Linked DNA regions of Callithrix jacchus. The protein of the gene in region 6 interacts with the protein of the main gene of each other region in a biochemical or structural test. Links are inferred from orthologs where the notes say so. Each region holds a gene or a part of one and is shown on either strand. Other genes may lie near its edges.

Region 1 (4,842 bases), on a different chromosome or scaffold from region 6:
CTAGGCGTGGTGGGTCACACCTATTATCCCAGCACTTTGGGAGGCTGAGAAAGGAGAATTATTTGAAGCCAGGAGTTCAAGACCAGCCTAGGCAACATAACGAAGCCCACGTCTCTACAGAAATAAAAATAACTTAGCCTATTTGGGTGGCGTGTGCCTGTAGTTCTAGCTACTCGGGAAGCTGAGGTGGGAGTATGGCTTGAGCCCAGGAATATGAGGCTGTAGTGAGCTGTCATCACGCCAACTGTGCTGTAGCCTGGGCAACAGAGTGGGGTGTCTTACACACACACACACACACACACACACACGACATACTTGTTACTAGTGCTTTTTTGTAAGAGTTTATCTAACATGGCATTTTAATATGGTTTTAAAAATATTTCTTTCCAGTTAACAGAAGATGAAATTGCAACCATTCTTAAATCTACATTGAAAGGACTAGAATATCTGCACTTTATGAGAAAAATACACAGAGATATAAAAGCTGGAAATATTCTCCTCAATACAGAAGGACATGCAAAATTGGCAGATTTTGGAGTGGCTGGACAGCTAACAGTAAGTTAAATTTAATAATTTTCTAAACACTTGGCTAATTTGTTCAGCTTTGATTGTAACTAAACTTTGATAACTTTTTGAGGGGGAATGGAAAGAAATGTGTAACTTTTTTGTTTTTGTGGAGAAGGAACCCTAATCGAGCCAAATTCGAGTATTATTTAATTTATAATTTAGGATAATTGAATATGAAAATTTGTAATCAAAATGCTTTACTGTTCTAAAAGGGAAGCTAGTCAGCTCATTTGTGTAGCTTTCAGCATTATAGTATCTTTAAGGATTGTATTTAAGTGATGGTAGTAGAGATAAGTTACCTGTGGATTCTTGGTTGTTTTCAGAATTCAGAATTCCTAAGTATGTCATAACTGGTTGAAATTTTAGCAAAATATAGTCAATTTCTGATACAATATGTGGCATTGGAGGTTTTGACTTTTTCTTAAAGAATGTTTGGCATACAGATTTCCTTTGTGTTTTTGTAGTAGCATTTATGGCTACGTAACATTATTGCAGGATACGATGGCCAAACGCAATACTGTAATAGGAACTCCATTTTGGATGGCTCCTGAGGTGATTCAAGAAATAGGCTATAACTGTGTTGCTGACATCTGGTCCCTCGGCATTACTTCTATAGAAATGGCTGAAGGAAAACCTCCTTATGCTGATATACATCCAATGAGGGTAAGAAAATTATGATTTGCTAAAAATGTTAGCCTTATATAAGTGTTGCAGTTTTGTAATGTCAGTGTAAGTAAATATAAACTAAATACGTTTATTTAAATTTGTTCTTTTTAAAAATGCTAAAATTATCTCTTAAAGATTAGTAACTGATAATTTCTCTTCCTTCTGCATTCTAAATTGTGGGAAAAGAAGTGAAGGCTCTGTATATGTCTACAGTCACTGTTCTACCCCCAAAAATATACCTGTAAAGTTTTTGCTTGCTTTTCAGTAGAAGAAAGGGTTGGTAAATCCTCTTTGCTCTTCAGTTTATTGCTTCTCGATGTGATAGTGGAAGAGTTTGAAGTAATCTGTTCTTACCCACTCCGTAATGTATACCTGTCTCTCTCTCTCTCTATCTCTCTCTCTCTCTCTCTCTCTCTCTCTCTCTCTCTCTCTCTCTCTCTCAGTGTGTGTGTGTGTGTGTGTGTGTGTGTGTGTGTGTGTGTGTGGTTTTTTTTTTCTACCCTTTCTCTTTGGTCTGAGGATGATATTAAGCAATCCTAATTTCTAATATTGCTATGCACCTGTAAAGGAATTAGGCTTTTTTTTTTTTAATGAATCCTTATTCAGAAAATGGAATTCCTTTGTTGAACATCATTATATGTTTCTGTGATCGCTGCAGGAAAATTTTTGAGTTTGAAATATATATCTTACATATTCAAGTCCAATTGCCTATGTTTCAAGATTTGTGATGATATACTTTTTAGGTTTATTACTCTGTGAATCATATAGATAAGTTCATCATCATAGATAAGTACATTTATCTTTGTATACTTATTGCCCTCTAGTGGCTGCAGTTACCTCAATAAGGATATAGAAATGAAGGGAAGAGTGTATGTATGTGTAGAAAAGAGAAGATAGTGTCATGGTGGCTGGAGGAATTTGAAGTAAGTAGGAAGAAGAAGAATGCATTATTTTAGGCTATCTGAAGATGAATAAATTGGAATCACATCTGATATTATAATGCTATTGTGGGTTAAATTTTGATAATATAGGTAATAGTGTATTATATGGAAAACATTTAAAAATCTGTCTGTTGTATTGAAACATTTTTATTTTTTTATTTTATTTATTTTTATTTTTTTGCCAATCAGTTTGAGCTTATGAGGTTGCTCAGGTTAGCCTTGAACTGATGACCTCGCCTTCGCGAGCATTTTTAAAGAGAGTTTTTGTTTTCTCATTCTTTTGAGACAGGGTCTTACTCTGTCACCCTGCCTGTAGTGCAGTAGTGCGATCATGGCTCACTCTAGCCTCAACTTCCTGGGCTCAGGTGATCTTCCCACCTCAGCCTGCAGAGTAGCTGGGGATATAGGTATGCACTATCATGCCCAACTAATTTTCTGTTAGTAGAGACAAGTTGTCGCTACATTGCCCAGGCTATTTTCTGTTAGTAGAGACAAGTTGTCGCTACATTGCCCAGGCTAGTCTCCAACTCCTGGGCTCAAGCGATCCTCCCACTGTGGCTTCCCAAAGTGCTGGGATTACAGGAGTGTGCCCAGCATAGAATTCTTTGAGTAATATAATCGTATACAATATGTACCATCTTCCTTGTGTATGTAAATTCCTTTTGGTAAATGAAAGATAAAAATAGCATCAATTGTTTTAAAATAAAATGAAAAATAACAAGGTCAGCAAGAACAAAAACAGGAACACAGAGTCTTACTTCTTCTCTGATCATTAGTTATCTGTGGTTATTTTAGTTAGGATGTTTGTAGAGTGATCCTCAAAGTAGACAAGTTTGTGTTTCAGTCCGTGAGGGTTACTAAATTACCCAAGGCAACTTAGGTAGGTTCCAGAGCTGGGATTTAACCTAGGACTTCCATTATTACCATTCTGCTTCTTCCCTGTGTAAATCTTATTTTTCTATCCAAATAGTTCAATATGTTAAATTTGACCCTGTGCTACTTTCTCTAGCAGAGAGGAGAGAATTGTAATATGTGACCCCTTCCTTTAAGGATCTGATAATATTACCTGAGAGTTTGAATGAATACATAATACATTGTTAAAAATATACCTGATGATAGTGTTTCTCTTAGGAAAAAAAATATATATATATTGCAAATTTCCTCGGATGCCTTGCTTACTGTTTTTTTTTTTTTCAAACCAGTCTAAATCCTACCATTTTTTAAAGTCTCAACTCAGATTTTATTTCTGGATAGACCCATTCTTGACAGCTGTCGCCCAAGTAAATTTCTCTTTTTCCTCATAATTTGTATATAGGCAATTTTTGACAGTCCAGTTCTTTGGATAGTTAATCAAGTGTTGCCTTGTACATTTCCAAACATAATATAGTTTATCTCCTATTTGAATGATGGCATTATTTAACTTTTTTTGTGTTTGTGAGCTGCCTCACAAATTAGAGTATTGAACTGCAAGTATTGGGGGTTGTTAAGATCATGTAACAGATACAGTTCTATCATGGGCAACAAATACTGCCTTTTATTTGTCTTGAAATGACGGGTTCACTTGGTTCATTTTTGAGAAAATGTCTGTCAAATACCCATCTGTGTAACCTTAGTTTTCTGTCAGTTATTCTTCAAGTAAAATCGGTGTTCTTGAAAAGAGCCTTGTAGTTTATTTAGCTTGCAGCTCAGTCATGCAACTACTTTTTTTCAGATTATTATTGTTCTTTGGTATGTGGGGAAGTGCATTATGCATATTTTCCATTTTGTCATGTAGAATACTACAAAATATATATTCACGTGTGGAAATTTAATAAAGTTAATAACTTTTACTGTTTCTTCAAGGTTTACAGTAGTTTGGTGGGGGGCATAGTACGGGCGTGAAAAGAGCTGTTCAAGAGAGAAAAAAAATGTAGTGGGTCCAGCTAAAATTGGTAATTGAGAAATTGTAATGTAATTAATACTGGTTTATGGGCCTTCCTGTGGTAGCATACTCTGCTGCGCAGTAGAGTGCATTATGGCCTTGATATGCAGGGTTTGGGTTTTAATGAATTAGTGTTTTTAAAGGATGGGGCTACAGGGAATTTAAGGATGCTGCTGAGATACACTTCAGGTGGTTACTAACAGGGCACAGTCTGGAAAGAGAGAGAAATTCTGGAAAGAAAAGAGAATATAAGGAAATGGAGCAATCATGGAATAGTGTTCTCTCCATGCTTGCTGCATAGCAGTCATCTGGGGAGCCCTACCCTAAACAGATGACATCTGAATCTCAAGAGGTTAGAGAGGAGATAAAGTGGTTGTTAAGATATGAGAAAGCTGGTAGGATATCACAGTATGATAAGTAAGTGGAATGATTTTCTTTTTTAACCAATATTTTTTTTTGTACTGTAGTAACTTTGTGAAATTAATATTTTATTCTCCATTGGGTAGATTGGATGAAATGGATAAGATTATTTGTTAAGATGACATAACTTATCAGCGGCAGAACTGAGATATGAATTCAGTTTGATCTGTATTTTTGCCTAGACACCAAAGAAATATCCTCTGTGTTAATATGCCAACTCTATGCAAGTGGAGGAGTGGCTAAAAAATTAGACATTTTTAAACCATCTAATCACAATATTTACTAATTTAAAATCTGAACCCTCTAAGTTTTCCAGAGTAGCAGGAA
Region 2 (5,350 bases), on a different chromosome or scaffold from region 6:
CAATCAGCTTGTTTCTTTTCGACTTTTTCAGCCCCAGGTGCTGGCAGCTGTTATATCTTGTTTCCTAAGAGTTTTTGTCTTAGAATAGGTTGAGCAAGGGGAAGTATACAAGTGATTCAGGAGGTGTTTTCTTGAGAAGTAGCAACCTTAGCATATTTTCAGCCAGTTAAGTTTCCTTTAGCTTTGTCAGTCCAGCCACTAGTGTGAGATTTGATTTTTGAGAATAGCCAATTCCTTGGATAGCTATAAAGACTTAAATACATTAGTGACTTGGGTTCCGATGGGTACTTATCAGTTGTCATGAAACTTTCTTTCCACAGCATACCAAAATCATGTACAATTCCAAAAGTAAACTGGCTGTCTGTATAAATGTTAGTTCCCTTATCTTGTGCTAACATGCAAGTTTGAGTGAGCGCTTAAGAGTTCAATGATTTGGGCCGAATTAACTTAGGTGGAGATTTCATCTTAATAGGCTGTTGAAAATCTGCAATAGTGTATCCTGCTTAAAATTCCCCATTTGTACTCCTGGGGCAAGAACCATCTACAAAGAAGGTGATATCAAGTTCTGAGAGGAGTTCTGGTGATGTGAGGATGAGGAAATGTGAGAGACTGTGTGACGGTGACACAGTCACAAGGTTGTCCTTCAGAGGGAATGGGAAGAAGAGAGGTTTGTTTTGACTATGGTGGGCAGTGATGTGAGAGGAAGACAGTGGCAGGGTTTCACAGGAAGTGGGTCGGAAGTGGAAACGTGTTTGGTGTTCTCAGTGACTTTTAACATCTGAACTGCATGGGGTGTGTAAAGGTTGAGGGAATGACTCAAAATGAAGCCCGCTCTGATGGAACAGCAACTTCATACAAGCAAGGGGAGAAATGCTTGCACCACTGGGTCTCAAAGGATGCTAAGTTACTCACCAGGCCTCTGGCTTCCATTGTATTTTAGAGTGAGGACTCTCTAAAATATGTCTTTTCTTTTGGGTAAAAAGGGGAAAGGGGAAACTGAATATTGGAGAGTGGGAGAAGACGCTGGAGAGGACTTCAGGTTTTGAAATGCAGATATGGAAGGAAAGTCTCAAAGTCAGGTGATTGGAGGTGATTTCCTTTTAGTCATGGCAAGTAAGGACAGGCAATGGTGGAAAAGCCAGGGATCTAATTCAGCAGCAACAGCCAACCAATCCTACAAACTGAGTTATCTTTTGGTATCAGGGAGAGGCACAGCATGTACAAAAAAAAAAAAAATCACTTCTAACGGATGCATACACTAATACAAAATGTTAATAATAAGGGAATTGCGAAGGGGGAAGAGATATAGGAAGCTCCCGGTCCCTTCTGCTCAATTTTTCTGTAAACGTAAGATTCAAACCTACTAATTAAAACACACACACACACCCCTAAAAGGGATTCTCTGCTGCAAGGTTTTCTGATTTTGGGGGTTGTTTTTTGTTTTCCTACAGGCTCATAATTTCAAATTAGTGGTGCTTCATTTTTTTTTAAATAAATGCTGGAAGAAAAGTTAAAACTTATAGAACCTTTACAACCTAAGAAGCGAATAATTATTCTACAAACCAACAAATATTAAGAGCGTCCTATAACCAACTCATTTAATCTTCACACAATCCTATGAAATACTCCTGTTCACATTTCACAAAAGAAGAAGAAACAGTTCAGAGACAAGTCAAACAATATATACTAGAACGAGGCGACTACTTTGGATACCAAAACCACATTTCCGAACCACAAAATCCAACCTAGGAAAATTGGCGCTCTCGAGTGTCGTCATTAAAATAAGGAACACAGAGAAGGATCGCGATATTACACGAACTACTACTCCCAACATGCAAAGCGGTCTCTTTCAGTCTCGGCCCGGGGGTCCGAGAGCCCCAGTAGCCCTTGGGGCGCAAAAGGCATCGTGGGAGCTGTAGTTCTCCTGGGCGCCTAGTGTTGTCGCCCACGCGGTGGCAGCGGCGTCTGAGGCTCCCAGCCAGCGGGTCCTGTGAACGCGAGCAGAGGCGGAGAAGGGACGCGGGTGTGAGAGCGGGTGAGTCAGCCACTGTCTAAACGATAAAGGGAGGCGGCTCCTTGGGGTTGGGCTGAATTCAGTAAATGGGCTCGTGCTCCGGCTTCTTCGGACACGCTGCTGCCTTAGCGTCAGCGAGGGAAGGGTGAGGAGGAGCCAGAGCCGGGTCCTGCAGCCGTTCTCGCCTTCAGCGCCCGTCGCCATCTCCATCATGCAGTCCCGGGAGGACGCCCCGCGCTCTCGCCGCCTCGCCAGTCCCCGCGGTGGGAAGCGGCCCAAGAAGATTCACATACCCACAGTTTCGGCCTTTTTCACGGGCCCAGAGGAATTAAAGGACACGGCCCATTCTGCAGCCCTCCTGGCCCAGCTCAAGTCCTTCTACGACGCGCGGCTGCTGTGCGATGTGACCATCGAGGTGGTAACGCCCGGCAGCGGGCCCGGCACGGGTCGCCTGTTCCCCTGCAACCGCAACGTGCTGGCAGCTGCGTGTCCCTACTTCAAGAGCATGTTCACAGGTGGCATGTACGAGAGCCAGCAGGCCAGCGTGACCATGCACGACGTGGACGCCGAGTCCTTCGAGGTGCTGGTGGACTATTGCTACACGGGTCGTGTGTCGCTCAGTGAGGCCAACGTGGAGCGCCTGTACGCGGCCTCGGACATGCTGCAGCTGGAGTACGTGCGGGAAGCCTGTGCCTCCTTCTTAGCCCGACGCCTGGAGCTCACCAACTGCACCGCCATCCTCAAGTTTGCAGACGCCTTTGACCATCGCAAGCTGCGATCTCAGGCCCAGTCCTATATAGCTCACAACTTCAAGCAGCTCAGCCACATGGGTTCGATTCGGGAGGAGACTCTAGCAGATCTGACCCTGGCCCAGCTGCTGGCTGTTCTGCGCCTGGATAGTCTGGACGTGGAGAGTGAGCGGACAGTGTGCCACGTAGCAGTGCAGTGGCTGGAGGCTGCTCCCAAAGAGCGGGGTCCCAGTGCTGCAGAAGTCTTCAAGTGCGTGCGCTGGACGCACTTCACTGAGGAAGATCAGGACTACTTAGAAGGGCTGCTGAGCAAGCCCTTAGTGAAGAAGTACTGCCTGGGCGTTGTTGAAGGGGCCCTGCAGATGCGCTATGGCGACCTGCTGTACAAGTCTCTGGTGCCAGTGCCAAACAGCAGCAGCAGCGGCGGCAGCAGCAGCAGCAGCAGCAGCAACTCTGTTGTACCTGCAGCAGAAAATCCACCTCAGAGGCTGGGTATGTGTGCCAAGGAGATGCTGATCTTCTTTGGACACCCCAGAGATCCCTTTCTTTGCTGTGATCCGTACTCTGGGGACCTTTACAAAGTGCCCTCACCTTTGACCTGTCTTGCTCACACTAGGACTGTCACTACCTTAGCTGTCTGTATCTCTCCAGAGCACGACATCTACCTAGCTGCCCAGCCCAGGACAGACCTCTGGGTGTATAAACCAGGTCAGAATAGTTGGCACCAACTTGCAGATCGCATGCTGTGTCGTGAGGGCATGGATGTGGCATACCTCAATGGCTACATTTACATTTTGGGGGGGCGAGACCCTATTACTGGAGTTAAATTGAAGGAAGTAGAATGCTACAATGTTAAGAGAAACCAGTGGGCGTTGGTGGCTCCACTGCCCCATTCTTTTTTATCCTTTGACCTGTTGGTAATTCGGGACTATCTCTATGCTCTCAACAGTAAGCGCATGTTCTGTTATGATCCTAGCCACAACATGTGGCTGAAGTGCGTTTCTCTGAAGCGCAATGACTTTCAGGAAGCGTGTGTCTTCAATGAGGAGATCTATTGTATCTGTGACATCCCAGTCATGAAGGTCTACAACCCAGTTAGGGCAGAATGGAGGCAAATGAATAATATTCCCTTGGTGTCAGAGACCAATAACTACCGGATTATCAAGCATGGCCAAAAATTGTTGCTCGTCACCTCTCGCACCCCACAGTGGAAAAAGAACCGGGTGACTGTGTATGAATATGATATTAGGGGAGACCAATGGATTAATATAGGTACCACATTAGGCCTCTTGCAGTTTGATTCCAACTTTTTTTGCCTCTCTGCTCGTGTTTATCCTTCCTGCCTTGAACCTGGTCAGAGTTTCCTCACTGAAGAAGAAGAAATACCAAGTGAATCTAGCACTGAATGGGACTTAGGTGGATTCAGTGAGCCAGAGTCTGAGTCAGGAAGTTCAAGTTCTATTTCTGATGATGATTTTTGGGTGCGTGTGGCACCTCAGTGAAATGCACAGGATCAGCAGGGTTTGTTGTAACTGAATTCAAACACTAAGTTGTTTTTGCTGTTTTGGAATATATCTTAAATATCCTTTTTGTTCCCAAAGGGGAGGAAAAGTTGATTAACTGGTTTGGTTTAGAAAAAGTAATGTTTGAAATATGAAGGTAATTTAATATTACAAATTTTAACACTCAAAGCAACCTTTTAATAATTTTTTGTGCTAAGAATCCAGTATTTATTTATTTAGTATGTTTATGTTTCATAAAACTAATTTAGTCTTTTGATAAATTTTACATTTTGTTTATTGCCACAAGCACCGTGGCAGTAACTTTTTAATTTTAATTTTTATAACAGAAAAAGGATTAGGAATTGCTAGGCAGTGTTTTGAAAGCATATCTTTTTCTTCAGAACAATGTAGATTTCCAAAATGGTTAACCTAAGGGGTCTTTATAAAATATATTATAAGTTAAACATAGTTTGGGAAGTTTTAGTTTTGTTTTCTTCTATGAAGAAAAAAGTACAGGCTGGGCGCAGTGGCTCATGCCTGCAATCCAAGCACTTTGGGAGGCCGAGGCGGGTGGATCACTTGAGGTCAGGAGTTCAAAACCAGCCTGGTTAATATGTTGAAACCCCGTCTCTACTAAAAATACAAAAAAAAAGAATTAGCCAGGCGTGGTGGCGTGTGCCTGTAATCCTAGCTACTTGGGAGGCTGAGACAGGAGAATTTCTGGAAACTGGGAGGTGAAGGCTGCAGTGAGCCAAGACTGGGCCACTGCACTCCAGCCTGGGTGACAGAGCAAACTCTGTCTCAAAAAAAAAAAAAAGCATATGTGTATTAGGGTGACTAAATGGTGACTTCATTTATAATAATACAGAGAATAACTATAAGCTCACTGACAGTAAAGACAACAAACCAGGATTCCACTGTTTGAAAAGAAGTTTCATTGTAATTTTGGCATTTAGAATGTATATTTGCAAAGTGACCGATTTTCATCTAAAAAATTAGATTCTAGTTGTGTCACCCAATCATCTAAAAACTTGAAAAAAGAAGTAACTTTCTTTGTAGGTTTGTATTGTTGCTCTAAACCTGAT
Region 3 (4,315 bases), on a different chromosome or scaffold from region 6:
AGAGTTGTTTGTGTTAAAATATAAAGTCAAATTCTTATATATTTATAGAAAGAAGAAGTTATTTCAAAATGTTAAAATTACAATGCAATATTAGATAGCCAATAAAAAGTGTTTTAAGTCGGCTAGGCGTGGTGGCTCACTCCTGTAATCCCAACTTTTTTTTTGAAATGGGTCTCACTGTCACCCAGGCTGGAGTGCAGTGGCACAATCTCAACTCACTGCAACCTCTGCCTCCTGGTTTCAAGTGGTTCTCCTGCCTCAGCCTCCCAAGTGGCTGGGATTACAGGTGCCTGCCACTACATCCAACTAATTTTTTGTAATTTTAGTAGAGACAAGGTTTCACCATGCTGAACAGGCTGGTCTCGAACTCCTGACCTCATGATTTGCCTGCCTCAGCCTTCCAAAGTGCTGGAATTATAGGCATGAGCCACTGTGCCCAGCCCTTGACATATTTTATACAGGCATGCAATGAGTAAAAATCTCATCAGGGTGGATGAGGTATACATCCCCTCAAGCATTTATCCTTTGTTACAAATGACCCAATTATACTCTTTTATTTATTATTAAATGCACAATTAAATTATTTTCTACTATAGTCACCCTGTTGTGCTAGCGAATGGTAGGTCTTATTCATTCTTTTTAACTATTTTTTTGTACCAATTAGTCATCGCCACCTTGTTCACTCCCCCACCCCCTACAACCTTCCCAGTCTCTGGTTTCCATCTTTCTACTCTCTGGGATTTTGTTTCGTTTTGGTTTGGTTTTGAGACAGAGTGTCACTCTTTTGCCCAGGTGGGAGTGCAGTGGCGCAATCTCAGCTCTCTGCAACCTCCACAACCCGGGTTTAAGCGATTCTCATGCTTCAGCCTCCCAAGTAGCTGGGACCACAGGCATGTACTACCACGCCTGGCTAATTTTTGTATTTTTAGTAGAGACGAGGTTTCGCCGCATTGACTAGACTGGTCTCGAACTCCTGGTCTCAAGTGATCTGCCTGCCTCAGCCTCCCAAAGTGCTGGGATTGTGGTTTGTTTGTTTGTTTAATTAGCAGGGCTAACTCATAGGTAGTGTGCCCAGAGTCAGCCAGATTATTTGTATAATTCAAAAAAATTAAAGCTATTTTCAGTGGTACTCAAAAAAGAAAGAGAATGCTTATTTACTCTTTGTACCTATGAGGGAAATTGTATATGGAAATGCAGTGTGTATAGAGCTAGGATACAGCAAAAGCAATGTCAGATATGCCACTCCACGTGTGATATGAAAAATGAACTGATAGACAAGGAATCTTCATTTCATGGCTGAACAATGAAGACATCCAGCACAGGACTTCATCTCTTGAGTTTAAAGAAACCACATTAGAAGGCTGGGTATGGTGGCTCATGCCCATAATCCCAACACTTGGGAGTTGAACTGAGAGAATCACTTGAGGCCAGGAGTTCAAGACCAGTCTGGGCAACAAGGTGAAACCCCCATCTCTATAAAATCAATTTTTTATGAGTTAGCTAGGCATGGTAGTGCACCCATGTAGTCCTGGCTACTCAGGAGACTAAAGCAAGAGGATCACTTGAGCCCAGGAGCTTAAGGCTACAGTGAGCTTGAATCATGCCACTTCACTCTGGCTTGGGTGACAGAGGGATACCCCATCTCTAAAATATAAATAAACCGGATTAGTTCCTTGTATGTGTAGGTTCTACACTAGAAAAATTTTGGTATGCCTGGAGATCCTTGTAGAGAGTAAATGAAATCAAATAAATTTTCCTTATAGGTTCAAACGGACCACAGTTGTTTACAGTTGAACAGTGGGGTACTCCTGAAAAGCTGCCAAGAGCTCATACCTGGTAAGCAGTTGTCTGGACCTTGATAGAACAAAGCCTCAGAGAGTGAGGTTCCTCTGATCGTCTAGCTACAGCAGGGCTAGTCTCCTCTGTTACTGTAGTGGCAGGTGTAGATGATGGATAAGGATGAGACTGCAACACTAACCCAACAAACAAGTGTTTTGTTACCAAGTTTGCCGGGGCTTGAAATCCAGGTAGCTGAAGATCAGAGAGGCCCATTTAAACTGAGTGATGAGTGATCAGCCTTCCCAAGGGGGGCTAGAACATTCCATTTTGGAGGTTAACATGGTAGAGGAACTCAGCCATTTGGAAGACAGGTAGAAGCAGGACTCCACAAGGAGTCGTGTGGAGCATCCATGCCCAGAGCCCAGTCCTACATCTTACTTCTAGCCCCGATGAAAAGACGTATTTTGGTGGTGTTGGAACTTACTCATCACGATTAGCAGCACTGCTGTGTGCTCTGGTGGTACTTGCTTTGTCAACGTCTTTCATAACCAGTTCCTCTGTTCTTTCAGCTTTAATCGCCTGGACTTGCCACCTTATGAATCATTTGAAGAATTATGGGATAAACTTCAGATGGCAATTGAAAACACTCAGGGTTTTGATGGAGTTGATTAGATTACAAATAACAGTCTATGGTGTTAGCCAAATCATGACTTAAAATTTTCCAGGGAACTACTAAAACCTGGCCACTGATTCTTCCCAGATCTTGAAGAAAAGCATATAAAAAGCATTTGAAGAAACAGTATGACAACTTTATTTTAATCGCTTTTAAATAATGTGTTGTATTTACACAGTTGTTCCATTCTGTCTTTAGAGTTCACACAATAGGATATAAGTCCCGTACGACTTAAATAGTGAATTTTGGCCATAACATTTACCTCTTGTATAGTATCTGCCAGGCAGTTTTTTCTTAAACTACTGAGATTATAACTGTGAAATATTTGTGATAAGTGTCATGTGTGAAGATGTTGATGCATTTTGAGATGGAAAACTGAAATTTGGAAAAAAAAATACTATTGCATAAACTACAATGTATTTAGTGCTACTCGCAGTATTTATTATTTTTGTAGACCTGCCTTATGCACCTTACCGCCTAGATTTTTGGAAAAACCTTGGAAAGTGTGTTATCTATTTTTCTAGTCAACTAACTCACAGAAAAACAGTTTACTTCTTCACTTTCAAAGTATTTGGCTTTTTGTTAATATGCAGTTTTTACTAAACAGGTGATTCATAAGACATGTGAAGCAAGTCATTTTTGCGATGGGTAAAAAGTATTAAGGCCTTTCTCTTGCCTGCATATCCTTATGATCATTGGTATAGTCATCACTTTTTCATATTTTAGTGTAGTTAGAATTCCTTCTTCAAACATTGAAGATCCACAAAGCAGTATTTCTAAATATGCCTTGAAGAACTAAATGAAGTGTATAGCACTTGCCTTTACTAGTCATTCTCTACACTTGTACAATTATGTAGTAAATGTATGTTTACAGCGTTTATTATGTTTACAGATTAAGCTAATTTCTGTAGTCGCATTTTTATATTTTTAGTATCACTCTAGTAAAAAAAAAAAACAAATGATTTGTTTAAAATAACCAAAGAGTTGATATAATGCATAATTTGTATTAAATTTATTACTGTATTTCTTATGCTTTTTGAAAATACTGTTTACTATGAAGACAATGTTTTATTACAAATCCAAAACTCTGTAGGCAAAATGCTGTAGGTTGAATCCTTCTTTAACCAAACTGAAATACATAAAGACCATGTACATGCATTCATCAAAGGTTTATTGAATGCTCTGTGCATAGTGCTGTGCTGTGCCCTGGGGTAAGGTTTGTCAGCTTCAGAGAAATCTGGCTGAGTCCTGATCCTCAAGGGACTTACAGATGTGTCAGTGAATCTGTAAAACAATCAAAAGTAGGGGTAAGCAGAAGAAGGTAAAAGGGAAATGTTCTAGATTCCAGCGCACCTGCAAAGATAAGTGTGCCAACACTGTATTTATATTTCATACTTATATTGTATCATCCTTATATTGGCATGCTTATATAGAAAATGGGTCTTAAATAGATGAAGCCTCTTTCTCAGTATGGTATCTTGGTGATTTAGGAATAATTGTAAATATATGTTATGAATCTTCTTAAATATATATATTATATATATCTTAAATATATATATTATATATATATTATATATTATATGTAATATATAATATATTTTATATATATTATATATAAACACACCCTGTGAGAACTGTAAAAACAAATTCTGTTTCTTGGTTTAAGTTTGTTGGGGTATAACGTGATGAGCACTCAGCATCTGTTAGAAATCTGAAATGTGACAGTAGCAAAACCACTTTCAACTTTCCAAACACCACATCGTTAGCATGGTTTAGAGGAAGCAATTCACAGTTTAATGCACCCTGCGTTTTGTCTTCACCACTGTCAACCAGTGGTCAGGCATGAGCACCAGATATAGTCCT
Region 4 (4,842 bases), on a different chromosome or scaffold from region 6:
TCTTGGCTCACTGCAACCTCCACCTCCCAGGTCCAAGTGATTCTCATGCCTCAGCCTCTTGAGTAGCTGGGACTATAGGCATGAGCTACCACACCTGGCTAATTTTTGTATTTTTAGTAGAGATGGGGTTTCGCCATGTTGCCCAGGCTGGTCTCAAACTCTTGACCTCATGTGATCCACCTGTCTTGACCTCTCAAAGTGCTGGGATTACAGGCATGAACTACTATGCCTGGCCAGATCCTCTCTTCTTGATCCTATTCTTCCTTCCCTTTACAGAGGTTGCCAATATTCTGTATTTGATAATTGTAATTTGTGTTTGGATTTAAAAAAATGGTTTTACTACATATATATGTATCCATAAGTAGTCTCTATTATTAGTGTTATCTGAAGATATAAAACAGTATCATGCTGTACCTATAATTCTTCCATTTTCTTTTCCATTCGTTTCTATTACATGTAGCTTTAGCTGAAATATACATTCCACAAGAACAAGAATCTTGCTGTGTTTTGTTCACTGGGATATTCCAAGTATCTAGAATAGTGCCTGGTACATTGTAGGCTCAATCAGTATTTGCTGGATGAATGAATTCATTTTAACTGTGTATAGTACTTTATTAATGTGTCACAGTTTATTCTCCTGTTCATGAATGTTTAGGTTCTTGTACCTTTTCATTTTTTTCTAATACGGACAGTGCTACAGTGAACGTTCTTGCTTGTGTCTCCTCGTGCACATATGTAAGAATTCTTTTAGGAAATACTGGGTGTTAGGGGCAGGCACCTCTTCAACTTAACAGTACTCCCACCAGCAATGTATAAGAATCCTCATTTCGGCCAGGCGTGGTAGCTCATGCCTGTAATCTCAGCACTTTGGGAGGCACCTGAGATAAAGAGTTTGAGACCAGCCTGGCCAACATGGTGAAACCTCATCTCTACTAAAAATAAAAAATACAAAAATTAGCTGGGTGCAGTGGCACATGCCTATAGTCCCACCTACTCGGGGAGGCCGAGGCAGGAGAATTGCTCGAATCCAGGAGGCAGAGGTTGTAGTGAGCAAAGATTGCATCACCGCACTCCAGTCTGGCAACAAGAGGGAGAGTCCATCTCAAAAAAAAAAAGAATCCCCGTTTCTTCACATCCTCACCAACATTTGATATCATCAGATATTTTAATTTTTGCCAATCTTATATACATGAGATTACATTTTGCTTGACTTTTGTTTTTAGTAATAACACATCGTTTTTCCCAACAGAAATTCAATGTCTTCTTTCCGTCCTGGGAGGGGCCATAATGATAGTCGGAGGACTGTGTTTTATACCAATGAAGAGTGGGAACTTTTAGACCCAACCCCTAAGGACCTAGAGGAGTCCATAGTGCAGGAGGAAAAGAAGAAGCCGACCCCTGAAGGAAACAAAGGTATCAGCGCGCTTCCTGTTGTCTGTCATTCTCTGTACTGCCGTCTGTTCACTAGTGATATGGGAGACACTTTATTAGCAGGTATTTTGAGAGGCATAGGCCTGGTGGTGGCTTGCATTCTCTTTGTGAAACTTAAAACACAAAGGCTTGAAAATTATTTAATAAATGTTATAAGAAATAAATGACTGTCTAATCCAATGGCTCTTAAAATTTTTTGGGAGATAGAACACTTGGAAGTCATGATCCTCTTTATGAAATACTGATTTTAAAAAACTTTATAAAAACTTGAATGTACACAAAAGAAGAGAAAATAGTCTTACGAATTCTGGTGTACTCGTTATCCAGCTTCCACAATGTGAACTGTGGTCTCTCTTCTTCCCTCTCCATCTCTAAGTTCCTGCTCCTCCCTGCACCCACTGTCAGCTGGATTATTTTAAATTTTAAGCATTAATCCATTGCATCTGCAAATGTTTTAGTATGTATCTCTAAGACATAATGACTCTTTTTAAAAAATATAGAACTTACTATATTTATAGTTATAATAAATCCTTAATATTATTTAATTCCTTAATTGTTCCCTAAGTGTCTGCTTACAGTTGGTTTCTTTAAGTGAGGATCCAAACAACACCCACACATTATATTTAATTGATGTCTTCTTAGGTCTCTTTTGGTGGCTTTTTCCCGTTCCCCCTCCTTTCCCACATTTGTTAAAGAAACCAGGTCTTCATGCTGAGGAGTCTCGCACATCTGGGTTTGCTGATTGTTTTTCTGTGGGGTCATTTAACATGCTTTCCTGTATACTGGCAGTGAGAGCCAAGGCCTGCCCAGATTCAGGGTGACTTCTGGTTGGACAGGAATGGTGTTTTGGTGGGGAGGTGCTGCGTGCTTCCTATCGCATCGCATCTGAAACCACAGTGTCTGGTTTCTCTCTTATCATATTAAGATTCATCAAGGCTTAGGGTTGTCATTCTGATCCATTCATAACCTTCTCCATCAGCCTTTTGCCAGATGCTTTTAACAGTCATTTATGATTCTAGATTGATTGATTGATTTTTGAGACGGAGTCTTGCTTTGTCACCCAGGCTGCAGTGCAGTGGCACAGTCTCAGCTCACTGCAACTTCTGCCTCCTGGGTTCAAGTGATTCTCCTGCCTCAGCCTCCTGAGTAGCTGGGATTACAGGCACGCGGCAACATGCCCAGCTAATTTTTGTATTTTTAGGAGAGATGGGGTTTCACCATGTTGCCCAGGCTGGTTTTAAACTCTTGACCTCAGGTGATCCACCCGCCTTGGTCTCCCAAAGTACTTGGATTACAGGAATGAGCCTCTGTGCCCGTCCACAATCGTAGATTAATTCATTAAGAGAATATTGATGTTTTAAACATGAAATAATAAATAATTTTGAAATTCCACTTTATACCTAATTCTAGCAAAAATGGGAAGCCAAGGATGCTTAGTATGCCTTCGTTTTCCATTAAAAGTGATCCTATGATAGAGTCTTCCAAGGAAGGATCCAGTGGGGGGAATCAGTCATCTTTGGCTGAAGCATGTTGGTTACTATCTAGAATGCGGTGGGGGCAGAGTCATCAATCTCCTCGGGTTCTCAAGGTGGGGAATGCCAAACTCCTTTGAGGATGATTTGCGAAGATAGTTTCCAAAAGGAAGATGTGGCTTGTATTTAAAACACAGTTTTATTTTTGTGTAGGAGTAACTGGCTCAGGATTCCCCTTTGATTTTGGACGTAACCCTTACAAAGGAAAGCGCCCTCTGAAAGACATAATTGGGTCGTACAGAAATCGTCACAGCAGTGGTGATCCTTCAAGTGAAGGCACACCAGGCAGTGGCAGTGTCAGCATCAGCATCAGGAAGCCAGCCTCTGAAATGCAACTGCAGGTCCAGAGCCAGCAGGAAGAGCTGGAACGGTTAAAGAAAGACCTGTCCAGTCAGAAGGTAACTTCTTCTTCTGGCTTCTGTCTTACCCCACATCAGCAGGCCAAGGGCGGGAGGAGTGAAGGCCAATCTGTGTTTCCCTGAATCTTTCCAGAGACAGTTTTGTTTCCCAAAAGTTGCTTTTCCCTGGAGGTTTCATACTGCCAGGGCCGTCATCCTAGGCGTGGCTGCTGTGCTTGATCATTGGTTCAGAGGTGTTTATATTTGTAAGGAGGGTGAAGAAAGGAGGACTGGGGAGGTTGCTGTCTGCACCTCCAGCCAGTCCTGCCCCAAGATTGAATCTCTCTAAACACAGTTTCAGCCCAGAGTTCTTTAACAGTCGTTAAGAAGACTTTCTGCATGAACAGCAGTTTCCTGAGCTAATCAGCTCTAATTACACTTAACTGTTCAGCAGTTCAGTGACTCTCAGAGCACAGATTTTTTAATACCCATGAACATTTACTGGACACCATTGCTAACTAATTACAGTGGGCAAGTCCATTATTTCCTGTTTCCTATTACTGTTCTCTACAGACAGTCTATGGAGTAAATATGTTTTTTTCTGTTTTTGAGATCCTTCAAGAGGAAGTTCAGTATTAAAATGTTTCCAGTAAAGTTTCTACATTTTCTTAAATTCTGACAATTGCTCCATGTCATGATTTGTGCTTTTTCTCCTCTCCTCGCTTTCCTCACCCTTCACTCCATTCTCCTTTTGGCTCCCAGGAGCTTGTTCGACTGCTCCAGCAGACAGTCCGGTCATCCCAGTATGACAAATATTTCACTAGCAGCCGGCTCTGCGAGGGGGTCCCAAAGGACACGCTTGAGCTTCTGTACCAAAAGGATGATCACATTCTGGGCCTCACCAGCCAGCTGGAGAGGTTCAACCTGGAGAAGGAGAGTCTTCAGCAGGAAGTGAGGACGCTGAAGAGCAAAGTGGGCGAGCTCAACGAGCAGCTGGGGATGCTGATGGAGACCATCCAAGCCAAGGATGAGGTCATCATCAAGCTCAGCGAGGGCGATGGCAGCGGGCCTCTGACCATGGCACCCGGCTCCCCTTCCACTGCACCTGTTGGCAGGGACCAGCTGGAACTGGACAGGCTGAAAGTAAGAGCAGGGCAGGGTTGTGATTGGCATGAGAGACCACCGATGTCACCCTAGAGGCCAGGCCTCTGTGAGCTGATTTGTGTGATGGCAGAACAGTTGCACACCCCTTTTTTTCCCCCCCCACAAGTGTAATAGGACTTGCCATCAAATAATCGTTAATTTTCTGTGGAGCTTCCTTGGAAAGGAAACCTTGCTGCTGCTTGGAGCAGTTTCAAATCTTTCCCCTCACTTGCTTTCAGGCAACTGAGACGTTTCTTTCTGTGTATACCACCCTTAGGACTTCATTATCCTGTGTAACATATGGAGGCTGTTTCTTGCCCCTCCTGTGTACATGAAAGCACACGCAAACTTAATTTGTATAGCTTGCTGCAGGACCTAGTGGGTGCCTGGTTTGGGGC
Region 5 (5,629 bases), on a different chromosome or scaffold from region 6:
TTAGTGTTTTACCAATATTTTAAGAAGTTTTTTCAAAATGGCCATTCCTGAGCTGGGCATGTGGTTCACGCCTGTAATTGCAGCAACTTGGAGGCTCAGGCGGGAAGAGAGCTTGACACCAAGATTTCCAGACCAGGCTGGGCAACATAGTGAGACCCCATGTATCATTTTTTTAAAAATTAACTGGGCGTGGTGGCATGCATCTATAGTACTAGCTACTTGGGAGGCTGAGGCAGAAGTATTGCTTGAGCCCAGGAATTCGAGGCTGCAGTGAGCTATTATGGCGCCACTGCACTCCAAGCTGGGTAACAGAGCAAGAACCCGTCTCAAAAGATAATAAAAAAGGCTTTTTATTCCCGGCTGGTGTTCATTACAAGTGAGGAAACAATTGGCGTTACTGGCAATGACTGACTTAATTCTCTCTGGTGTAACTCAGGGACATCTAACATCTCTTTTTATTTACAGAGGAGATATTGGAGCCCAGAGGCTGACTTAATGTGTCTACCCTAGAATATTTCCAGCGGATACTCTTCAGCCAAGAGAAGAACAATTTGAAGTTATTCTCTTGTGATGTGTTATCCACACATGCATTGTAATACGGATGATTTTATTTATTTGGTTATGGTAACATAACAAACCAGCACCAGGAGCGGTCACTGTTTTTTAAATAAAAGTGATCTTTAAAAGTCTATCTGTTGCCAGTGCAGGGTGCCCAAGTTCTTGGCATTTTGAACAAAGAATTGGACAAAACTCATAAACAAAGCAAGGATAGAATGAAACAACAAAAGCAAAGATTTGTTGAAAATGAAAGTACACTCCATTGGGGCTCAAGGGCCCTGTTACAGCATTTCTAGAGGTTTAAAGACCCTCCGGAGGATTCCACTGGTTACTTGTTGTATGCCCTATGTAAATGAAGAGAATGAGGTAAAGTTACAGCCATTTGCTCGGCATACACCCTGTGGAGAGGATACTTCCTGTTAGAGCTGAGGTGTGCATCGGCCTATGTTCCCGGCCTCCAGGCCCTATTTTCCTGCCTCAAATCTCTAATACTTGGTTTTGATGATTTAGCTGTTGATCAACGCATATATTAAATAGTTTTGTAAAGCATAGACTATACTGTGTATTAATTCAAGGAACGTCAGGGCATGTATGAATGCTGAAGTCTGAGAATCATGTGCTTTTGTACAGAACAAAGTCTGTTGAAATGTTTTGAGTTAAAATTCTCCCTAAAACTTCTCTACGAAAGCAATTGCAGAGTCTGTTAACTGATTTGTAGAATGGCAGTGAAAGAGGCTGTATTTGGCCGGGCGCGGTGGCTCACGCCTGTAATCCCAGCACTTTGGGAGGCCGAGGTGGGTGGATCACGAGGTCAAGATATTGAGACCATCCTGGTCAACATGGTGAAACCCCGTCTCTACTAAAGATACAAAAACTTAGGCCGGCATGGTGGTGCATGCCTGTAATCCCAGCTACTCAGGAGGCTGAGGCAGGAGAATTGCCTGAACCCAGGAGGCGGAGGTTGCGGTGAGCCGAGATCGTGCCATTGCACTCCAGCCTGGGTAACAAGAGCTAAACTCCATCTCAAAAAAAAAAAGAAAGAGGCTGTATTATTCAATTTGAACACACTTACATTTGCAGCTTAATGAAAATACTCTTGCTCTGCAGAGATGAAATGTTAGTGAGAGCAGCAAATCATCTATTTGTATATGCTCAATTTGCATATTTGAGGCCATCTATTAATACTGCTCTTTAGGACCTCAACCTAACCATCTAAGACATTCTTGTTAAATGAGACCAATATACATCATTTAATATTGAAAATATTAATACTCTTCAGAACCTCTCAAAAAATAAAAATTAAAAATTGGAAGCTTTGTAACGTTTTGCAGTTTTAAAAAAAATACTTGGTTTCAAATTAGCGGGTGCCTCATTTATCATAAATTATAAAAGAGAATCTAACAATTATTGATTACATTCTAGGCACGGGGTAGTGATTTATTAATTATTCTTCTAATAAAAAAATACACATATTTAAGCATCCTATGTAACATATCATTCAACCCCACAAAACCCTGTAAAATATTGGCAGGGCGCAGTGGCTCACGCCTGTAATCCCAGCACTTTGAGAGGCCGAAGGAGGAGGATCATTTGAGCCCCCAGTAGTTCGAGACCAGCCTGGCAACAATAGTGAGACCTCGTTCTTCACCATCAAATCCCGGAGTATTAATTTCTACTTCTGTTAGAGCAGGCAACGAAAGGAAAGCTCGCGATATTTCACAAACTACTACTCCCAACATGCAAAGCGGTTTCCTTCCTCGGTCTTGGCCCGGCTGTCCGAGAGCCCCAGCAGGCCTCGGGGCGCGAAAGGCAACCCGGGAACCGTAGTTCTCCAGGGCGCCTAGCGGGATCGCCAGCGCGGCAGTGGGGCTTCCGCGGCTCCCAGCCAGCGGGTCCTGTGAACGCGAGCAGAGGCGGAGAAAGGGCGCGGAAGTGAGAGAGGGTGAGTCAGCCACTGTCTACGCGATAAAGGGAGGCCTCACCGCGGGGTAGGCAGAATTCAGGAGTCAGGTCCGTGCCGCAGTCTGTTCCAGGAAGCGGCTTGTGTTAGCGTCAGCGAGGGAAGGGTGAGGAGGAGCCAGAGCCGGGTCCTGCAGCCGTTCTCGCCTTCAGCGCCCGTCGCCATCTCCATCATGCAGTCCCGGGAGGACGCCCCGCGCTCTCGCCGCCTCGCCAGTCCCCGCGGTGGGAGGCGGCCCAAGAGGATTTCCAAGCCCTCGGTTTCGGCCTTTTTCACGGGCCCAGAGGAATTAAAGGACACGGCCCATTCTGCAGCCCTCCTGGCCCAGCTCAAGTCCTTCTACGACGCGCGGCTGCTGTGCGATGTGACCATCGAGGTGGTAACGCCCGGCAGCGGGCCCGGCACGGGTCGCCTCTTTTCCTGCAACCGCAACGTGCTGGCAGCTGCGTGTCCCTACTTCAAGAGCATGTTCACAGGTGGCATGTACGAGAGCCAGCAGGCCAGCGTGACCATGCACGACGTGGACGCCGAGTCCTTCGAGGTGCTGGTGGACTATTGCTACACGGGTCGTGTGTCGCTCAGTGAGGCCAACGTGCAGCGCCTGTACGCGGCCTCGGACATGCTGCAGCTGGAGTACGTGCGGGAAGCCTGTGCCTCCTTCTTAGCCCGACGCCTGGACCTGACCAACTGCACCGCCATCCTCAAGTTTGCAGACGCCTTTGACCATCACAAGCTGAGGTCTCAGGCCCAGTCCTATATAGCTCACAACTTCAAGCAGCTCAGCCGAATGGGTTCGATTCGGGAGGAGACTCTAGCAGATCTGACCCTGGCCCAGCTGCTGGCTGTTCTGCGCCTGGATAGTCTGGACGTGGAGAGTGAGCGGACAGTGTGCCACGTAGCAGTGCAGTGGCTGGAGGCTGCTCCTAAAGAGCGGGGTCCCAGTGCTGCAGAAGTCTTCAAGTGCGTGCGCTGGACGCACTTCACTGAGGAAGATCAGGACTACTTAGAAGGGCTGCTGAGCAAGTCCTTAGTGAGGAAGTACTGCCTGGGCGTTGTTGAAGGGGCCCTGCAGATGCGCTATGGCGACCTGCTGTACAAGTCTCTGGTGCCAGTGCCAAACAGCAGCAGCAGCAGCGGCAGCAGCGGCAGCAGCAGCAGCAGCAGTGGCAGCAGCAGCAGCAACAGCAGCAACAACAACTCTGTTGTACCTGCAGCAGAAAATCCACCTCAGAGGCTGGGTATGTGTGCCAAGGAGATGGTGATCTTCTTTGGACACCCCAGAGATCCGTTTCTCTGCTATGACCCTTACTCGGGGGACATTTACACAATGCCGTCACCTTTAACCAGCTTTGCTCACACTAAGACTATCACCTCCTCAGCTGTCTGTGTCTCCCCAGATCATGACATCTACCTAGCTGCCCAGCCCAGGAAAGACCTCTGGGTGTATAAACCAGCTCAGAATAGTTGGCAGCAACTTGCAGATCGCTTGCTGTGTCGCGAGGGCATGGATGTGGCATACCTCAATGGCTACATCTACATTTTGGGGGGACGAGACCCTATTACTGGAGTTAAATTGAAGGAAGTGGAATGCTACAGTGTTCAGAGAAACCAGTGGGCATTGGTGGCTCCTGTCCCTCATTCCTTCTATTCTTTTGAACTCATAGTGGTTCAGAACTATCTTTATGCTGTCAACAGTAAGCGCATGCTCTGCTATGATCCTAGCCACAATATGTGGCTAAACTGTGCTTCTCTTAAACGCAGTGACTTTCAGGAAGCGTGTGTCTTCAATGATGAAATCTATTGTATCTGTGACATCCCAGTCATGAAGGTCTACAACCCAGCTAGGGGAGAATGGAGGCGGATTAGTAATATTCCTTTGGATTCAGAAACTCACAACTACCAGATTGTCAATCATGAGCAAAAGTTGCTGCTCATCACTTCTACAACCCCACAATGGAAAAAGAACCGAGTGACAGTGTATGAGTATGATACTAGGGAAGATCAGTGGATTAATATAGGTACCATGTTAGGCCTTTTGCAGTTTGACTCTGGCTTTATTTGCCTTTGTGCTCGAGTTTATCCTTCCTGCCTCGAACCTGGTCAGAGTTTCATTACTGAGGAAGATGATGCACGGAGTGAGTCTAGTACTGAATGGGACTTAGATGGATTCAGTGAACTGGACTCTGAGTCAGGAAGTTCAAGTTCTTTTTCAGATGATGAAGTCTGGGTGCAGGTAGCACCTCAGCGAAATGCACAGGATCAGCAGGGCTCTTTGTAAATAGTATTTTGAGACACTAAGATGTTTCTACTGCTATGGAATGTATGTTAAAAAGATATCCTCTCTTTTTCTTGGGAAAAAAAGGTTGATTACGACCACAGATTTGGTTTAGAAAGGGTAACATTTTGAAATACTACAGGGTTTAAACAGTCCCTGAAACCAACCCGTTTAATAATTTACTGTGCTGAAAGTCCAAAATTAAAATATGCAAACAAGAACTATATAATTGGTTGGGATGCTTGGTAGGCTTTTTCCTGGTTCAGGTATTCATCCCACAGTGGACTGTTTTGATTAGTGGGCTTATTTTTTTTTTAATTCAGTCTTCTGTTAATTTTTAAGTTTTCTTTAGTGCCACAAAGAATTTATCTTTTAAATCTGTATAATAGAAAACTGGACTAGGGATTGTTGATGGCGTTTTGAAGGATGAGTACTTTCAAAATAATGAAAGTGGTAGATTTTCAAAATCTTAAACTAGTCAGTTCTTTATATTCTAAGTTAAATATAGTTTGTAAAATTATTTTGGTTTTCTTCTACAAAGGAAAAAAATTGGATATATGTATGTTAAGGTTACTGAATAGTGATTTCATTTTGATAATGTGCAGAATGGCCTCACAAGCACACAGAAAGTAAAAAAAAAGGATTCCACACCCTTCTAAACCAAACCAAAACAAAACACAAGGTAACTTGCTTTTTACATTTGTATTTTTAATCCATGCCCATTACACGCTTTATTGAGTCAGAGGAACAATTCCTGAACATATAATTGGGTAATGTAAATTTTTATCCATTGGTCATGGCTTGTCTTAAAATGTTTATTTGCCTCCGTAAAATAT
Region 6 (5,471 bases):
CCTCCCAAGGAGATGGTATTACAAGTGCACCACCACACCCCAATAATTTTTGTAGTTTTAATAGAGACAGGGTTTCACCATGTTGGCCAGGCTGGTCTCAAACTGCTGACCTGAAGTGATCCACCTGTCTTGGACTCCCAAAGTGCTGGGATTACAGGTTTGAGCTACCATGCTGAGCCAACACTCTAAAAATTTTCATCTCCACCCTAATTCTCTTTCTCAACTGGTTATAAATAACTCTTTAGAAAGACTTAGCTATATTTGCATAAAAACTAAAATGAGCCACTGAAAATTAAACTATTTTCAATTTGAAAATAACACCTAAAAATTATAAACATATAACGTGGTAAAATACCTCATAGATTTTCTAGCTTTCTTTATTTATTTATTTTTGAGATGAAGTTTCACTTTTGTTGTCCAGGCTGGAGTGCAAAGGCATGATCTATGCTCACTACAACCTCTGCCTCCTTGGTTCAAGCAATTCTCTCCTGCCTTACCTCCCAAGGCGCCTGCCACCATGCCCAGCTATTTTTTTTTTTTTTTTTTTTTTTTGTATTTTTAGTAGAGAAGGGGTTTCGCGGTGTTAGCCAGGCTGGTCTCGAACTCCTGACCTCAGGTGATCCGCCTGCCTTGCCTCCCAAAGTGCTGGGATTACAGGCTTTAGCCACCGTGCCCTGCCCTTATGGATTTTAATACATAAGGATTGAAAGATGCCGTGGGGAAGTGGGACTATATGATACATTTTCCTGTGCCAGTAATGTAACTTAGTTTCTTTTACTTTCAGAGTACGTGTTTCATTTTTATTTATTTATTGTTTTTGAGACAAAGTCTCGTTCTTTCCCCAGGCTGGAGTGCAGTGACCGCCTCGCGGGTTCAAGGGATTCTCCAGCCTTCAAGGGATTCCCCAGTAGCGGGGACTACAGCGGTGCCCATGCCTGGCTAATTTTTGTATTTTTTTTTGTAGAGACAGTGTTCTGCCATGGTACCCAGGCTGGTCTTGAACTCCTCAGCTCAAGCGATCCTCCGTATAGGCCTCCCAGAATGCTGAGAGTACAGGTGTGAGCCACCACGCCCGGCCCCCTGTGGGTGTGTTTTTTAAAATTAGAGACACTGCGACCCGGATTGAAGAAGATAGGCCATGGGGCTTCTGTGTCTAACATTTTTCAGAATTCACCCGACTTGTGTGGGCAAAGCAGTCCCTTTTCACTGTTCTTTTTTACAATCTCCACAGCACTCCCTTCGCTGCCTACAGTACTGGTTGGAAGGCCTCTGTCGTTTGACTCTCGGTGGTTAAAGCCAGAACGAGGCTTCACCGCACCTGCCCCAATGCTCAGTCTGCCACTAGCATTCCAGGCGGCGCTTTCTAGTCACGTGAGGGATACCCAACCACTAGAAATAAGATGTGGGGGAACTGAGATCATCACCTAAATTGCTTGATACTTTCTTTTCCAGAAGACACGCCCTCCTTCTGGATTAATGGCAGAAAGTGAATCATTTCTATATTTGATTGTACGTGAAGCCCTCGGTAGTCCTTACTGACATCACGTCTCCTCTGGACATTGATTACGCTCCGTGTCCTTCACCTGACATCTCTTCAGATTCCTGAGTCACGCTCTGTTTATGTTGCTGTTCCAGGAGCGAACCACGGCGCGGATCCAAACAGTGACGTCAGCGCCGGAGGAGCGGCAGCGGAACGCGCAGAGGGCACGGTGCAAGCACGGGACAGCTCTGCATTGGCCAAAGGGATCCCAGGAGGCCTGGCCCTCTGTTCCCCCGAGGGTGGATCCCAACCAGCAGAGACAGGCTGGATTTTTGCCTTTTGTATTTGTTCCGGGGCCCAACCAACAAAAACAGTGGAGGGGGAAGAAAACATGTTTAGAATATTTTTTTTGTTTTAAAACCGTATTTAATTTCACGGTTACAAAATAAAACACAACTAGAATGTTTTGATGTTTGCAATGACATCGATTTTAAACAAGGTTAGCCAGAAAGCAAAAGCAGTGAGGCAGAGCTGTCGGCCTCCTCCCGCCTTCGGCGCCTGGCGCGCGGGGGCGTGGCGTGGCGCGCGGGGTGACGTCACAGGCCGACGCTCCGCCCGGCTGTTTTTGTGCTTCCAGCTCTTCGAAAAAGCCGCTGGTATTTCTCCACCTGGCTCTCCTTTACCTCCAGGCAGGCGCACCCGAGGTCCCCCTCCTTTTCCCCCACCGCGCACTCGGCCCAGCGCTGTTGCCCCAGGAGCGGACGTTTCTGCAGCTGTTCTGAGTACACCTTGACGTCGGCGGAGGGAGCAGGACGCGGCCAACTGTCAGCTGCGAAGGAGGCAGGCCCCGCGCGGGGATCTAGCAAGCCCTGCGGTGCATTATGAAGTTCCAGTACAAGGAGGACCATCCCTTCGAGTATCGGAAAAAGGAAGGAGAAAAGATTCGGAAGAAATATCCGGACAGGGTCCCCGTGAGTGTAGAGCAGTGGGGGGATGGGACAGGAGGGCCCGCGGGGGCGGGGGCGGGGAGTAGCGTTGGCTGCCCTGGGGCGCCCAGGCCGCTCTGGAGAAGGTGGGGGGGGGGTTCCATGAATTACTTAATCCTGAAAGCTCTTCAGTGCCAGAGCCAATGGACGTCCAGACTGCGGAGCTTTTAAAACCTGTATGCCAGCAGCCTGAATCCCACTTTAGAGCTGACGGCGTTTTTGGAGCCGAGCCGCCGTCTGCAGTGACTCAGCAGTATTGAGACGTGTGTGGGTTGAGGGGTGCACAAAATAGGGCCCCTGTGTGCGAGAGTGGTGAGGTCGGGGCCATGGATTGGCTGCCTTTAAGAACGCAGGGACATTGTGCTCTGCCGTGAGGTTTGCCCCGGTCGATTTCTGCCTTGGTTGGTTCCCCTTTAATGAAGTTGACTTTCTCTCTCATATCGTTGGGCTTGGGAGGAAAAGGTTCAGAAGCCATTCGGTGCTTTTCTTGCATTCTCTCAGAATTACAGGGGGGTGGGGGAGCACAGGACAGTCCTGGCCTGGAAAACAAGGTCACGTTCTCTGCGCAACAGCCCGCTTGCCTCATCGTTCTAGGCTCCGGGGCATGTGTGGAGACAGCTATCCTTCCCCGGTATCGATTTCTGATCACATGGTACCTGGACGCGATAAGGCAGGACTGAGACTCCTTTTCTCTGTTTTGGACACCGGCTTAAGTAGTTAAAACCAGCACAGGTAGTGAGGAGGAACGGAGAAAAATAATTAGGTATCTTCCAGCATCCGGGCGTTTTCCCCAGTCCTCCCCCCCCCCCCCCCCCCCGTAATTCTGAGAGAATGCAAGAAAAGCACCGAATGGCTTCTGAACCTTTTCCTCCCAAGCCCACTTGCCTGGTGTTTCTCTAATGTAGGCTGCGATGCCAAATTGAAGGCCAGAATATGACTTTTAAGTGGTAGAGGGACCAGCAACTGTTGGATTTTGGAAATGGAGTAGCGGAGATTTTACGGTGATCTTCATGTGGGGACATTAGTGTTACAAGTCACATAATGGTAAAACAATTGCTGTTATCTGGTGTCTTTTCTTGATTCACAGCCACTCTGGGTTTCTTCTTTAATCCTTACCTAACATTCATGGTTTTATAGCTACCAGAAGCCGCCAGCGCCTTAGCCCAGCAGTACAAACCTCTTGTACCTCTTTTCCTTAAAGGAAAAAAAAAAAAAAAAAAAAAGTCATTAGGGCTCTTCCATTCCCCAGGAATTACAAAAGGGTTTTCAGCTTATAAAGGAATGTGCAAAACCCTTAGCCAGTAAAGGATCCTTTACGAATTACTTTCCTGGTTTCTGGACCTTGGATACCTGCTGTGAAAGTTTCGCCCAGTTTTGGTGATGCCAGTCTTACTTTTGAGTAATGATATTTAAAAATGACAGCCAAGTTTTATTGATAGTTTACCCTAGCATTATTGTATCAGTCTGTAATCATTCACTTAATCCTTACACGATTATAATCCCGGTTCTACAGATGGAGTGTTCAAAGCATAAAGAAATGCAGTAACTTCCTAAAGGTTTCACGTTGCTGATCTGTGGTTGAGCCGGAATTCCACCCCGTCTGATGGACTGTGGAGCTCTCGGAGACCTTAACCTCCATGCCATATATCTCAATTTCTAATATAGCTGTATTAACCAGAATTAGTGATGTACTGTGGACTTTACATTGTTAAGTATTAGATAAATATTTTAGTGATTTATGTGTATTCACTCTGAATATTTCAGTGAATTCTCTTCTTTTCCTGCTCATATTTTCGTGTTAAATGTTTTGCTTCTGTGATAATTTTTAAGCCATTAAGACTGTCACTCGGATTTCAGCTTTCCTAGGGTTATGTTTTAACCAGTGGTGAGCTGTTCTCAAAGTGCTTTGTCTGTGACCTTCTTTCTAGTTATGACGCAGGTTCCTTGATTTGGTTCTGGTTCTGGGAATTCATTGCATCCTTGGGCAGAACTCTTAATCTTGTGGTGCTAGAGTGCCTTGTTTACAGAAAAGAGGGTTATAGTAATGACTCCTAAAGCCCATTCCCACTTGACCATTGTTATTAAAGCAATGGCGTATCCTGACTGCTCTCATAACCAGAGCTTACCCCCACCAATATTTCTTCAGAGCTCACGTTGGAAAGAATAGGTGTACTTGTGCCTTCGGAGAGCAAGGGTTGATGGGATCTTGAAATTATCTTCATAGATACAACATACAAAAAAACTGTTAGGAACAGATTGTCTTCTTAAAAATTCATAACCCTACTGAGTATGAGTCACATTTTACAAATGAGGAAAACAGACCCAAAGAGGCAAAGCATCTAGCCCAGGGGTCTACCATACTGAGGAATAGAATTGGGATTCCTGGAAACTTAACCTTGGTTCTGTGAAACCAAGGTTTTAATGATTACCCTTCCCTTTCTCTTCCTCTCCTAGCCCCTCCCTCCCATCCAGGTATTGCAATCTGATTTATCACTTTTTTTCTGTCTTCCTTTGTGGTTTTTAATCTCTTACTGCTGGGTCTCAGAGTTCCTTTGGGCCACAATGCTAGCCTCTTTCTGCCTTTTCCTTTTAATTTCTGACTCACATTACCCTATTTCAGTTTTTACTTTTAAATTTAAAATGTGATCATGTCCCTCTGGTCTTCCTGGTTCAGGATTTTTTTCTACCAGAACATAAAGCAAGTTTGTTTTTTGTTTTTGTTTCTTTACTAATTTTAATCTGTTCTTTTAATTTAAAAGGTTCAAACCCTCCCCGAACTTAATTATGTTAGATAATTCTTTATAATATATGAAGCATTTTCATATAAAATTTTATTACATTTACATCATATCAATACCATGACTTTGTTAAAGATGTGTTAGAAAGTTTTCTTTTCAGGCGGGGCACGGTGGCTCACACCTATAATCCCAGTACTTTGGGAGTCTGAGGTGGGTGGATCATTTGAGGTCAGGAATTCCAGACCAGCCTGGCCATCATGGCGAAAC

What was found.
Region 1: the proteins of GABARAPL1 (region 6) and STK3 form a complex in vitro, tested with the Homo sapiens proteins (2 studies listed by BioGRID and IntAct). The link is inferred for Callithrix jacchus from reciprocal best matches to the Homo sapiens genes GABARAPL1 and STK3.
Region 2: the proteins of GABARAPL1 (region 6) and KBTBD6 form a complex in vitro, tested with the Homo sapiens proteins (2 studies listed by BioGRID and IntAct, with this or other methods). The link is inferred for Callithrix jacchus from reciprocal best matches to the Homo sapiens genes GABARAPL1 and KBTBD6.
Region 3: the proteins of GABARAPL1 (region 6) and NEDD4 form a complex in vitro, tested with the Homo sapiens proteins (2 studies listed by BioGRID and IntAct). The link is inferred for Callithrix jacchus from reciprocal best matches to the Homo sapiens genes GABARAPL1 and NEDD4.
Region 4: the proteins of GABARAPL1 (region 6) and TBC1D2B form a complex in vitro, tested with the Homo sapiens proteins (2 studies listed by BioGRID and IntAct). The link is inferred for Callithrix jacchus from reciprocal best matches to the Homo sapiens genes GABARAPL1 and TBC1D2B.
Region 5: the proteins of GABARAPL1 (region 6) and kelch repeat and BTB domain-containing protein 7 form a complex in vitro, tested with the Homo sapiens proteins (2 studies listed by BioGRID and IntAct, with this or other methods). The link is inferred for Callithrix jacchus from reciprocal best matches to the Homo sapiens genes GABARAPL1 and KBTBD7.

The regions. Positions count from the first base shown.
Region 1 is NC_133517.1:98,134,390-98,139,231, forward strand, and holds part of STK3 (serine/threonine-protein kinase 3), read left to right. Parts: intron 1-390; coding exon 391-555; intron 556-1,062; coding exon 1,063-1,230; intron 1,231-4,842. UniProt on the Homo sapiens protein: Stress-activated, pro-apoptotic kinase which, following caspase-cleavage, enters the nucleus and induces chromatin condensation followed by internucleosomal DNA fragmentation.
Region 2 is NC_133506.1:160,304,087-160,309,436, reverse strand, and holds the start of KBTBD6 (kelch repeat and BTB domain-containing protein 6), read left to right. Parts: upstream 1-1,915; 5' UTR 1,916-2,225; coding exon 2,226-4,265; 3' UTR 4,266-5,350. UniProt on the Homo sapiens protein: As part of the CUL3(KBTBD6/7) E3 ubiquitin ligase complex functions as a substrate adapter for the RAC1 guanine exchange factor (GEF) TIAM1, mediating its 'Lys-48' ubiquitination and proteasomal degradation.
Region 3 is NC_133509.1:43,606,681-43,610,995, reverse strand, and holds the end of NEDD4 (E3 ubiquitin-protein ligase NEDD4), read left to right. Parts: intron 1-1,763; coding exon 1,764-1,836; intron 1,837-2,348; coding exon 2,349-2,451; 3' UTR 2,452-2,996; downstream 2,997-4,315. UniProt on the Homo sapiens protein: E3 ubiquitin-protein ligase which accepts ubiquitin from an E2 ubiquitin-conjugating enzyme in the form of a thioester and then directly transfers the ubiquitin to targeted substrates. Specifically ubiquitinates 'Lys-63' in target proteins.
Region 4 is NC_133509.1:25,371,749-25,376,590, reverse strand, and holds part of TBC1D2B (TBC1 domain family member 2B), read left to right. Parts: intron 1-1,249; coding exon 1,250-1,413; intron 1,414-3,116; coding exon 3,117-3,361; intron 3,362-4,063; coding exon 4,064-4,444; intron 4,445-4,842. UniProt on the Homo sapiens protein: GTPase-activating protein that plays a role in the early steps of endocytosis.
Region 5 is NC_133506.1:160,345,993-160,351,621, reverse strand, and holds the start of kelch repeat and BTB domain-containing protein 7, read left to right. Parts: upstream 1-2,391; 5' UTR 2,392-2,690; coding exon 2,691-4,796; 3' UTR 4,797-5,629. UniProt on the Homo sapiens protein: As part of the CUL3(KBTBD6/7) E3 ubiquitin ligase complex functions as a substrate adapter for the RAC1 guanine exchange factor (GEF) TIAM1, mediating its 'Lys-48' ubiquitination and proteasomal degradation.
Region 6 is NC_133510.1:12,779,396-12,784,866, reverse strand, and holds the start of GABARAPL1 (gamma-aminobutyric acid receptor-associated protein-like 1), read left to right. Parts: upstream 1-2,101; 5' UTR 2,102-2,361; coding exon 2,362-2,451; exon of another isoform or gene 2,452-2,892; intron 2,893-3,328; exon of another isoform or gene 3,329-3,694; intron 3,695-5,471. UniProt on the Homo sapiens protein: Ubiquitin-like modifier that increases cell-surface expression of kappa-type opioid receptor through facilitating anterograde intracellular trafficking of the receptor. Involved in formation of autophagosomal vacuoles.